Linked DNA regions of Cricetulus griseus. The protein of the gene in region 3 interacts with the protein of the main gene of each other region in a pairwise test. Links are inferred from orthologs where the notes say so. Each region holds a gene or a part of one and is shown on either strand. Other genes may lie near its edges.

What was found. The genes of interacting proteins can lie anywhere in the genome.
Region 1: the proteins of protein boule-like (region 3) and Znf385c interact in a two-hybrid assay, tested with the Homo sapiens proteins (2 studies listed by BioGRID). The two-hybrid records come from large-scale screens. The link is inferred for Cricetulus griseus from reciprocal best matches to the Homo sapiens genes BOLL and ZNF385C.
Region 2: the proteins of protein boule-like (region 3) and CUNH1orf94 interact in binary tests that used the Homo sapiens proteins (3 or more experiments, as listed by UniProt). The two-hybrid records come from large-scale screens. The link is inferred for Cricetulus griseus from reciprocal best matches to the Homo sapiens genes BOLL and C1orf94.

The regions. Positions count from the first base shown.
Region 1 is NC_048600.1:113,701,049-113,705,251, forward strand, and holds the start of Znf385c (zinc finger protein 385C), read right to left. Parts: upstream 2,878-4,203; coding exon 2,628-2,877; intron 1-2,627.
Region 2 is NC_048595.1:25,030,268-25,034,375, forward strand, and holds the start of CUNH1orf94 (uncharacterized protein C1orf94 homolog), read left to right. Parts: upstream 1-1,231; coding exon 1,232-1,545; intron 1,546-4,108.
Region 3 is NC_048595.1:409,763,771-409,767,847, forward strand, and holds the start of protein boule-like, read right to left. Parts: upstream 2,826-4,077; coding exon 2,805-2,825; intron 1-2,804. UniProt on the Homo sapiens protein: Probable RNA-binding protein, which may be required during spermatogenesis. May act by binding to the 3'-UTR of mRNAs and regulating their translation.

The DNA.
Region 1 (4,203 bases), on a different chromosome or scaffold from region 3:
GGGAAGGTCTGGTCCCATATCTGCTTCCCCTGCCCAGCTGTAAGTGCCCAAGGGTAGGCACCAAGCATCCCTCTGAGGGTATCTCAGCATCTTGCATTGGGTCTGCCTAGGGCCTCTGATTTCTTGACACACCCTGGATACTTGGTGACTTAACTGGCCTAAAATTTAACAGTCTGGAGTGGGGTGCTAGGCATCCATTTATTGGTGACTTTTAATTTTGAGATTCCCCAAACCATCCCCACCAACACAGGCTCTCTTCTCCTTTTGGTTCCTCTTTCTAATGACTTGAACTGCCCTACTCTCCCCTCCCCAAGAGCCTGCCTAGCTGAAGTCATCCATGCCTCCTCCCTTTCCCTTGCTCCCTAAAGCCCATCGGTCACCAAACCTTGATAGTTCTCCTACACAAAAGCCTACAGAAACTGTTTTCCTACTCCATTTCTTTCTTGGCCGTGTATCTCTATGTCTCATTCTTATCCTTCTCTGGAGACATCTGAAAGATGTCACAATGCTGCTGTGAAGCCTGTCACCTCTGAATCAAAGGCCAAAGCTAACCTGGTAGGAAGACCCCTGTGGGGGTTACCAGCTTACCTCAACCAAGCTCAGCCTGTACCCTGCACAAGGCTCCACCGGCCACTGCCCAGCAAGGCCAGGAGCTCTTGGTGCCTGTACCAGCTCTAACTGTGATTCTGCCTGTGAGACCCTTTCACCTCCAGGAACCAACATCGGTGTCATGGCTTTTGAGCTTCCCACATCAGCTCACTCACTGTTCCCTTCTCTAGTATCTTCCCCTGGCCCCTTTTCTTCTTTTCCTCTGGTACCCAGGGATTGGACTCATAGCCTAATGCAGGCTAGGCAAGTGCTCTACCTCTGAACCTTCATTACTTTAATATGGAGACAGGATCTCACTAAGTTGCCCAGGCTGTCTTCGAACTCACCCTCTAGTGCAGGCTAGCCTTGAACTTGAGATCCTCTTGCCTCTGCCTTTCAAATAACTGGGATTACTGGCCTGTGTCAACAGACTTGGCTTTCTCCTGGGTTCTCTTGACACTTTTTTCACTCACCTCTACAAGGCCTACTACTACCTGAGAATAAATTCATCTTTATGTAGAATGATTTAGACAGCTTTCTTCTTCTTCTTCTTCTTCTTCTTCTTCTTCTTCTTCTTCTTCTTCTTCTTCTTCTTCTTCTTCTTCTTCTCAGATTTGAAAGTCTTAAAAATGTGAGCCCCTCACCTAAAACTGGGTGGTGATGATGTACACCTTTAATCCCAGCACTAAGGAAACAGAGGCAGGCAGATCTCTGAGTTAAAGTCCAGCCTGGTCTACAAAGCAAGTTCCAGGACAGCCAGGGCTACACAGAGAAAACTCTGTCTTGAACAACAACAAAAAAGCGAGTTCTCTGAACAGCAGCTTGAACCTCCACAGATAAGTACACATATTTGATGAATAAATATTTGATGACTAATTGTATGACTTTTAAAAAGACAATCTTGCTATGTAATTCAGGCTGGCCTTGGATTTACATCCATCTTGCTTCAGCATCCTGATTCCAGATGTGCACACCCACCCAGCTTAAATGAATGACCTTTGAACCCCAGTCCTACATGCTCCAGAAATATGGGTCCATCCAATTGCTCAGTCACAGCCTTGGGAGTCCAACTCTAAGTGCCTACTTGGAGGAGTTAATCCCCACTACCACAGTCTTCCTGTCACTCACTGTGGATACGACCTCTGCCTGAAATGTCCCTCACCTGTCACGCTCATCAGCCTCTTCCTCCAAGGCCTTTGTGGCCTGGAGGCGTGTCTCAACTCCCATCTTGCTAAAGGGGCACTGTATAAATGTCACCCAATGATTAGGAACTTTCAAGGTTCAAGGTAGCCTCTGGCAAAACCACCCAGCTGGGCTGCAAGGTGGGTTTCTCCAAGGCATCCCCAGGATCTGGGGTACCAATGCCCCCTGCCTCTCCCTCCTAGGCCTGTGTGTGGATCTGTCTTCCCTGCCAGCCTGCAGCTTGTGACCCCCATGTGCCTGTCAGCAGGCATCACTCTCACAGAAGCATTCACCCATCTCCCCCAGAACACTGCATGGCAGCCAGCTGCCCCTCCAGCATTGGCAGCTAAACCCCTACAAAGTCACCCCAGCCAGGGAGAGGCAGAAATCCCGGCTGGGAGTCCAGCTGCCACGGGAAGAGCAGCTCCTGTTGTTCCTTGGCTGCAGTGCTGTGCACCGTGCTGACCCCAGCCAGAAAAGCAGGAGTCTGGAACACTCTGAAAGTGAGGTGGTTGTCTGAGAGACTGTCCCTGCCTGATGCTCCAGACTAAAGAAATGCTATGAATGTCCTCACCACCCACAGGGAGAGCTTCTAGAACTGAAGAGACCTCAAGAGGAGACTTCAAGACTCTCACATCCCCTGAGATCCCGTGGAAAGCTGTCCAGAAGCAAAACAAAACTTTCAACTTTCTTTGGTTTTTGCGGGGCTGAACCCACACCACATTCGGGGTAGGCGCCATGCCACCGAGCTACAACCTCAGCTCTGTAAATAAAACCTGACAGTATCAGACCCAGGATCCCTTAAAGAGACCCAGATTATAGAAGGGGTGTTAAGCTCAGCGCCACTCCACACTAACCTGGCCCTGTGGAGGTCTTGCCCAGGCTGAGCTGCCGAAGCCTCCGCTGGTGGGCGCGTCCCCCACAATGCACCTGGGCCTGGGCAGCAGAGTTCAGCTGGATGTTGCAGACATCGCAGAGTGTGTAGGAAGGTTGCTTCCTTTCCCGCTTAGGCTTCGATGATTCTGGAGAGTGAGGGGGACACTCAGATGCTGCAGTTGTGGGGGGCTCCTTTTCACTTGAGGGGGATGGGCTCAGTGGCCGCTTCATACCTGAGCAGATAGAATGAGACAAGTATGTGAGGCTGAGTGGTTGTGAACACACAGGGCAGGAGAGGTTTGAGATCTGGAAATGCTGGTGGGTACGCCAGGAGACCCCACTTGACTTCCAAAGACACCCCTCAGCCAAAATGTCAAGAGGAAACATGATGGGCGGTCTGTTTTAGTCAGAGTAGCATTAAAATGGCTGCACACTGGGAGGCTGGTGGCACACAGGGTCTCAGGGACTAAGCAAATCTCGGCGAAGAAGAGGGGGTCTTGGAGGCAAAGCGGCACTGGGTAAACAGCAGCAGACTGTTTCTACCCAGGAGCCAGCAGAGTCATATTTTGGGGAGCCATTGTCCTGTTGTCAGCCTCGAGGCAAAGACTGACAATCCTGTGACAGCCGGGCGTGTGGCACCTACTGGAGACACTACAGCCCTCTGGCCAGAAACCCAACCATCCTGTGCCCTATACCTAGCAGGGTGACATTCACCAATAGTGACAGCCGGAAGAGACATCCCCACCCCTTTCCCACATGGCTTGAGATGCCCCTACTGTCTTGGTTACCTGAGCTGAGGACACAGTTGGCCGTTTGGTTGAGACCTGGGTCTGCTGAACACAGCGTTCAGACCCTGCCCGAACCTGGACTTTCATGTTCTCCCCTCAGGCAATTATCCCCATTTTAGATAACCTCTCCCTCCTAACTCATTGCTTGGTACTTTCACTTGTCTGCTTCTGTTTCTACCCAGGAGCCAGCTGCCAAATCCCCTTTCTCAGACAGAACTTGTAATATTCACTTCCCTCCTGGTGTGTGTTGTACATGTTTACAATATGTGTGTGTACATGTGTGCACATGTGCATACCTATCCGTAGGTGTGTGTACGTGTGCATGTATGTGTGTGCATTTACACATGTGTGCGCACCTGTGCATATGTGTGTGTACCAATACGTAGGCGTGTGTATTTGTGCATGTGCATATGTGTGCGTGTACAATACGGACCTGTGTATTATGTGTGTGTAAATACACACGTGTTTATTTCCTGCCTCAGCTTCACTAGGAGACTTCCTGATGTCAGTCCTGTTCTCCTCAGACTTAAGCAACCCCAAGGTTTGGGAAAGCATGACTGAGCCCACCTCTTTCTAGTTGCAGATAATCTGTGCAACCCTTTTCCATCCATGTTGAAGCCCTAACCTTAAGTATACCAGAATATGACTGCATTTGGATAAAAGTTTTTTTTTTCTAAGCAGGGCTTCTTGTGGAACTCTGTAGACCAAACTGGCCTTGAACTCAGAGATCCACCTGCCTCTGTCTCCTGAGTGCTGGGATTAAAGGCAT
Region 2 (4,108 bases), about 380 Mb from region 3:
TTTCAGCCTTCCTTCTTGAACTCTGGACAAACACAACTTTTTAGGACTTGGAGACTCATGTATGCCGAATAAGAAGTAGTACTAAACTCTTGACCTGGAATAGGATAAGATTTGAGCTCAGCCCTTGGCATTCGGTGCTCCCTTGGAATGGCAGTTAGGATTAATGCCAGAGGACAAAAGGGCAGGTCGCCCACCCCTCAGAGGCTCTTAAGTATGTCTGTAGTGGTGGGGGTGGAGACAGTGTTTCATTTTGACTTACTTCAAAGGGGAAGCTCTCTGGGGTCTTCCCGGCTGCACCCCGCCCCCACTCCACCAGCGGACCTTGGATACGAACGCCTGGCCCGTGTCCCCGCGCACCCAGCCGCCGAGCCGTTGCGCTTGAACCCACAGAAAGAATCCCAGCTCTCGACGGCAGGGGAGTGGGAGATACTCGGCACGCAAATCTGCTGACCCCCGCCCCGGCCCACCCTGCCCAATCGGCGCCCTTTTAAGGGTTGGGACCCTCTGCGGTGCTGGGTCTCAGTTCTGCGCGGAGGCGCTACAGGTGTCCGCTGGGGACCTAGGCCAGGCTGACTGCCAGCACAACACCGCATAGGAGATTTCTTTCTAGGGAGGCAGAACAGCAGTAGCAGCAGCAGAGAGAGAGGGACAGAAGGGGGCAGCCGGGAGAGCTAAAGCCAGGAACTGCGGTGGGCGAGGGCCGTTAGCCCTTGGCGTGCACCGGATCTCTGGGAAGGTGGGAGGAGACAGTCCCATGGCCTGCCCCCACCCAGTCTAGTACAGTGCCCAGCCCTTACTCAGCCCTCCTGGCGGCTTGACAGGCGAGAATGGGCTGAGTCACAGGCCCTGAAAGGTGTCACAGGGGTGTCGCAACGGGGGTGTGCCGGGTTCTGTGGGGAGAGCCAGTCCTCCCCTCCAGTCGTTCCCAGATGTCATTCTGCCCGCCCAGGCGCTTGGTTCCTGAGTTCCGGGGCATTCCACGGTTACTAAGTTACTGGTTTTTGTTGACTTTTAAATATTTTCTTCTACGGGAGAGGGGGAGGGGGGCAAAAGTCAGGAAAGAGCAAATAAAAGCAAGTCAACATAAGCCCCCCTTCCCCAAAAGAAAGTTGCCCCCTACTCCTCATCCCCACCCAAACAAAACGCCTCTGAAACCCATCCCTTGGCTGGAGCATCAGCCAGCTAGAACTGACTACTTCCCAGGCCCAGTCTTTAGCTCCCTTTCTGGTGAATGAGGGCTGGTGGTGGACAGTCCCTTTGTCTCCCAGCCCTGGGTGGACAAAGGGGCTTCCGGAAAGAGAGAAAGAGGATGGCCAGTGGAAATGGGCTCCCTCCATCCTCGGCCATGGTGGCCAAGCGTCCCTCCGCCCTGGGGCCATTCCCCAGATACGTGTGGATCCACCAGGACACACCCCAGGATAGCCTAGATAAGATTTGCCATGACATCTGGAAGAGAGTTCAGGGCTTGCCGGAGTCCCTGCAACCCAGGACCTCGCTGGAGAAACTCTCGGCGCCGATGACCGCGACTGTCAGCTTCCAAGAAGAGTGAGTAGTGCCCTGTTTGGTTGATTATCAAGGAATGGAGGGAGGGGAAATGAAGTCTGACTTAGGGTTGAACTCTCTCTGGCCAGTGTTAAACTCTATAAACATTTTCTTCATCCCTTAGTATGGGTAGTTTGGAGGAGGGAGCTGGCCACGGTGCTGAAATTCCAGGAGCAAGGGAAGAAACCATTCCTGATGGCTTCTTTCCAGATACTAAGGAGACATTGTCATTCTAAAGGCATAGACAACTAAGATGAAAATCTGGGGTCCTGGCAAGAGTATTCTCACCAAGCCTAGGGGTAATATCACTGTCCCCAGAGGCAACTAGGTGATCTTTCCCCTCTCCCAAGAAAAGTTCAGGCATTGGCACAGATGAGTCTGATGGCTGGAAACCACATCTGGAATCCCCTAATACAGAGAGCAGCTGTCCCATTCAGCATCCACAGAGCTACTGCAAGAGCGCACATCAAAATATTTACTGGGAAGGCATTGACATATTCAGAGGACATAATAGAAAATTAAAGTGCGGGAAGATGACTGTAAATAGCCGGTTTCCCGGATGGGAAATCCCATGTCTGGGAAACACAGAGCTAAGTGTTTCTGCACTAGGAAAAAGTTGAAGAGATATTGTTGGGGCTGGATATTGGAAATGAGAGGAAGGAGCAGAGAGGAAGAAGGGATCTCATTAGGAGAAGGAGTGCATTCGTTTTGGTGATTAATGTCACTGCTGAGTACTCTTTCAAGGCTCTGCACCTTCAAAGTGGGCTGCAAGCGTTAATTAATCCTCCCAGCATCCCTATGAAACAGGTATTAGTGTCCCCATTTTACAGATGGATTAAGTGTTAATAATTAAGTGCCAATTAAAGCCTAAGTGATAATTAAGTGTTGTCTGCCCCCAACACATGCTCCAACTCAGTTCAGAGATGGGGGAACCATTCAGGCATTTATCAGCTGCCTCAGGTTTCAGGGCTCTCTAAGCAATAGCTGAGAGGGAAAGAAAAGTATAGCAGATGCTCAGGTCTGCACTTCCTGCAATCCCTTTGCAAGCTCCTTTGCTTGATGCAGATGAAGGTAGAAGGCATGCTGGCTGCTTCTGCCTCCTCTGCCCTATGCTCAGCAGGACCCGGCTCAGATGGAAATGGCCTTTCTATAGCCAGAATCCTGTGGCTAGTCTTTTCAGTGGCACCGAGCTCCTCTGTCTTGTTCATTGCCATCTGCTCTGGGACAGTGCCTTGGCATGGGAAACCTTGGGGGCTGTACTCAGCTCTCTCAATGGCCAAGGAGCTGATTGTCCACTTTCTGGATCATAGGTCAGTAGCAATTTCCAGTAGATAGCCCCTTCTCTGCCAGGTCACACTGAATTCATGGAGACAGACTCTACTTCCAGTCCACACTTGGCCAGAAATTGAACTAGCCTACCTTTGGCCAGTTGATTCATTCTGTTTGGCCCTGATTTCCTCATCTGCAAATTGAGGATGATGTGCCCTGCCTTGTCAACTCAGAGTCGATAATGAGGGTCAAATGTGATGGGAAACAAAGAAATGAAAGATGCATTATAGAAACAAGACCGCCTTAATATGTAATGCACCGAGTTTTGGGGTGGGAGGGTTACTGCTGTTGGCTTTCTTCTGGAGTTTTCATGTGGTCTCCAAGTCCCAAGGGTGCTTCACACAGCCACCCTAGAGTCAAGTGGGTTGTCTGCTGGGTCCCACACATACTTTAGTCAGAGCTGTTCAGGCTTTTGTTGGTTTTACTACTGGAGTTCTGAGTATGGTTGCATTTGAAAGAGTTTGGTGACTGAGAAGAGACCCAGGAAACCACCTACTTGGAGGAATAAACCACATCATAGTTGTAGCTATCCACCTGGTAGAACACAATGAGAACTTCATGAAATGAAAGCCAGTGCTTCTGGAGTCAGACAACCAGGTTCAGCCCCGCGCTGGATGCAGAACTGTGACTGTATGGTGGATCTTAACTTTGGTCATCTGCCAAATGGAGGTGACAGTAGGGGTTGCTGGAGGTGGCAAATCTGAATCGTTCAATGGTCCTGCTAGTAATTAGGATTCATAAATTCCTTCTAAGAACAGCAGTTATAATTTCTGTAAATCTTGAAATTTTTGCAGGCAAGAGGTAGTACCTTTTCAAATTCCCCATTCTTTTTTCACTATACAAATTTGCAAACCCCCAAAATAAAGGTAGCGAGAGCCTATAGATCTAAATTTTTAATTTTTTTTTAATTTTTTATTTTCTGTGCACTCATGTTTTGCCTGCATATATATCTGTGGGAACCCCATGTTCTGAGTGATGAAGGGTAAACTTTAAAACTAGAGGGCACACCACTGTTTCTTATGTGTTCAGATACACACCTGCTGGGTTTTCCCCTGCCTAATGTGTAGAGTTTTGATGGGGGAGGTCCTTCTGTGCATATGTTTGTCTTATTGGCTGATAAATAAAGTACTGTTGGCCAACAGGGAAGCAAGATAGGTTGGACTAGGAGGGTTCTGGGAAATGTAGTAAAGGGAAGTCTTGTGATCCAGGCAGGAAGTGACATAGCAGGCAGACTTAA
Region 3 (4,077 bases):
GTTCTTTTGTTAAAGAAGATCAACACCAGATGAAGTCACTAAAATTACAATGGACCAAAAGAAAAAGAAGCATTCTTTAATCATGTCTGAATACTGATAAGCCTTTCTCCCCGAAATCCTGTCTAAAAGTCTCAAGCTTATATTGCATAAATCAAGTTCTTAACACCAGAGAGGACCAAAGGTGTACTTTCTTCCTAGTTCCAATGACTTCACAGACACAACTCAATTACAGATGTGTTCTTGGTAGTCTTTGGCTAAAGAGCACTGACAAATTAATACATTTGCATAATTCTAGCCTGAAAGTCAAAATTTAAAATGCATGAATCTTCTTGAAAATTAGACTGATCTTTAAGAAAATTACATACCTAGCTGGGTGAAGTGGGGGAGGCAGAAGCAGGTAGATTTCTGTGACTTTAAGTCCAGCCAGGGTTCATCAGTGAAAATTTTACATACCTAAACATTATGAAAAATTACACATCTAAACACTTAACTATACATTTACACGATGAAGAATTGAGATCAGTATATATCCATCATGTTCATACTTCTAAATTGGAAGGCTTGTCAAGATCAATGTATAAGATTTTGCATAATGGCAACTGAACAGACTTGAACTGTACGATGAAAAAAATCAAGATACACATTAAAAAAAGCCTATTATTTCTTTCTGCGAAGACTAAATAGACTTTTGAGACAGCCTAGCATACTAACTTCTTCAAAAATACTCAAGTTCATAATTCGTTAAGAAATATCTCGATGAAGTTTTAATTTAGATGGTATAGTAGTTCTTTTCTATATTTGTCCTTTTTCATTTTATTGGCTGACAAAACCCATTATTTTAGATGTTCCTATGATTAAAATAAAAAAGACAAATTCGCTGTCCTCTTGAATATTATATCATTGTACAAAGTAACAGCTAAATATAATATATGGTATGTTAGAAAATGGAAAGAAACAGAGATGGATAGTAGTATGTAATACTAATAGAAATGATAGTTATTTCTGTTTCAACAAAGGGAATCTCCAGTTGTAAAGAGTACCAATGATATTCTAGAAAACATTGTACTACCAGAGAAAATCATCTAGCTTCAATAGATATAACCTTGTCTCTTTGCCCATTTATTTACAGTACAGAACTTGTTAATAATAAAAAAGTCTCCAGAAAATTCTCTAAAAACAAGAGTTCGAGTTCTATCGAAGTTATATTTTGTCCTCACGTTTAAATAAGAAGACAAACTCCATCATTTTTCTTGTGAGAGGTTGATGAAAACAGTCCCAATGAAGAGACTTCAGGTTACTCACCGAGGGGGAAAAAATAATTATTTTTTAAACAACCAATTCACTTGATTCCCTTGTTTTTAAAGGCTCCTTTAAAGGCTCCTGTTGTGGATGCCAACTGCTTAATTTTTTTATTATCTATCACCTTCTAATTTAATATATATTTATCTACCGCTTTGCACTATGCTACAATATTCACAAGGGCAGGAAGTTTGCCTGTATATTTATAAGTAATATATACTTATATTTAAAACACTGCAACGTGTAAACCAGTGACACGACATGGCAAGTGTTCAAGGAGTATTTGTTGAATGTATAAAACTGACAGACATTTGTTCCAGGAGAAATCTGCCTAGCATGTGCTGGACATTTAGATAAGGCCCGAAGTGCCAGCAATATTCTAGAACACGCTGTATTGTTCGCAGCCACAAGTCTTGGATAGCGGTAATATCTAAGTTCCTTAGAGGTTAGCGGTGGCTCTAACACGGGGAACCTCTCATTGTCAACCGTTTGAAAGCATGGAGGCAGGGGCTGCTCCCCGGTTGTTAGTATGGGTTCTCTGCTTCCTTGTAAAGCTTGGCCACTAACAAGTTTATTAGGACACTCTTCCGCAGTAACACGGCCTCACTGCCTCCTTCTCTGGGACTTAACCGAGAAAGGGACCGACCGTCTTTGCGAGGACAAAAGGAAGAGGAGGGCTAACCGTCGCAGTCACCGCCTCGGTGCTCCTTCCCCTCTGAGGCCAGCAGGTGGAGGCGATGGGGGAAATGGCCGAAGTGACAACTTCGTCGGGTTCTCTCGGGTCATCGTGAACCGAGGCACCGACACGAGGATCCCCCCCCTCCCCACCAAAGTGCGGGAGGGAAAAGAAGGCGAGCCAGCGAGAAATTTTGCCAGGCAAACCCGCCAGCAGCGGTGGCGGGAACCCTCAACGGCACCGACCACGCGCCGGCCGACTCGTGCGCAGCGGGCCGCGGCCCTGCGCTGGCGCCCGCTGATTGGCTGTCTGCCGGCACGGGGCAGGGCGGCCGGCACGTTACCAGGCTGCGCTGGGGCCCGTAGGCCCCGGGCCGGGCCCAGGCCTCACCCGGGGGCGGCGCGCGTTAGCTGCGGCCTTCCCGAGCTCAGGCCTTTCCCCGGGGCGGAGCGTCGACGGCCACTCGCCTGGTGGCCGCGGGCGACGAGAATGTTGGCTCCGGAAGGGCGAGCGTCGAGGGCGCCGCAGTTTGGGCGGGAAAGCATTTCGGGGCCGCCGCTCGCTCGCTTGCTCGCTCGTTGGGCACGGAGGACAGAGCCTGCCCGCGGTCCCCGGCCGTTTCCCCGCGCCACCCACCCGCCCACATGAGTCCAGACCCCCGGGGCCGCCCCTTCTCACACACCCGACGGGCCGCTCTTCGCAGCGCGGGCGCGGGGGGGGGGGCGCACCGCCTTCCTCCCCAACCGAACAGCCAGCGTTTGGGCTCCAAAGCACACCCTTCCAACCCCTCGGAGGCCGCGCCGCGCAGGGCCCAGACCCCAGCACTCACCGCCCGTGACTCGGTCTCCATCTTTCCCCTCCACACTTCAGAGAGGCAGGAGGCGCCGCAAGTTCAAGTTGGAAGGCGCGCGTTCGGAGGAAGCGAGCCGGTGCGGCTCCCGTCGGGGACTCGCTCCCCCTGGCGGCGGCGGCGGGGGCTGCAGCGACGCGGCCGGGAGAGCTGGGGGGGTGGGGGGGCGGCGTGGGAGGGGGCTGTGAGGAGGAGGAGGCGCTTTTGCGCAGGTCCCGGGGACGCTCGCTTGCCCGCTCGCTCGGCGTGGGGCTGCGTACTGCGAGGGGCGACGTGGGACAGCGTGGGACTGCGCGTACTTCCAGGGGCGGCGTGGGACGACGTGGGACTTCGTGTACTGCGAGGATCGGCGTGGGACTGTGCGTACTGTGAGGGGCGGCGTGGCACAGCGTGGGACTTCGTGTACTGCGAGGATCGGCGTGGGACTGTGCGTACCTCGAGGGGCAGCGTGGGATGCGCTCACCTCCCAAGCCCAATGCACTATGGAAGCCAAGAGCTGCGGGCAGTACACAGTCGCAGTCCAAGCTCTGGAAAGCTCATCTCGGCCTCCTTTTTCCAGCGCGGCCCATGGGGACTTCTGAAGGCTGGTTCAAGGACAGGAAGACAGTTTCCACGTGCAAATCATGCTCTTCCTCCCGGCGCCACACACAGACGCTGTGGATGCAGCTCCCGCGGTCGCTGTCAGTCACCCCTGCCAGGTCCTGCCGGGCAGTGCAGTCCAGGCACTGGTAGGGTAGCTGTCTGCTGAGAGCAGGAGGGGCCAGGAGTCTTAATCCCAGCAGCACTCTTGAGGCAGAGGCAGGTGGATCTCTGTGAGTGAGGGTCTAGACAGCAAGTACCAGGACAGTTTAAGGGCTACACAGGGAGGCTCTGTCTCACCCCCCTCCCCGTTCCTGCCCCACTCTCAATTCGCCCCCCCCCCCCCCCCCGCAGAGAGCGCCTGAGGGAACCAGCCTCATTAGCCTTGATCCCATGGCTTTGGGATCTCCTTTGAAGGACTGCTTTCCAAGACTATCTCTAAAAGTTTCCCAAGAGCCCATCTTGTCCTTGAGGTGGCATGTAATTCCAGTTAGATAAACTCTGTAATAGACTGCCATTATTATAATCGACTATCCTTGTTGGACTCATTTCATTTCAGGAACAATGCTTTATGGTCATTTTTCGCACCAATCTTTCTGAGAGATTCACCTGTTGTGTCCCCGTTGAATAACCAGGTGGGTCAGTACTTTGGTCAAGGTCTAATGCTACAGCA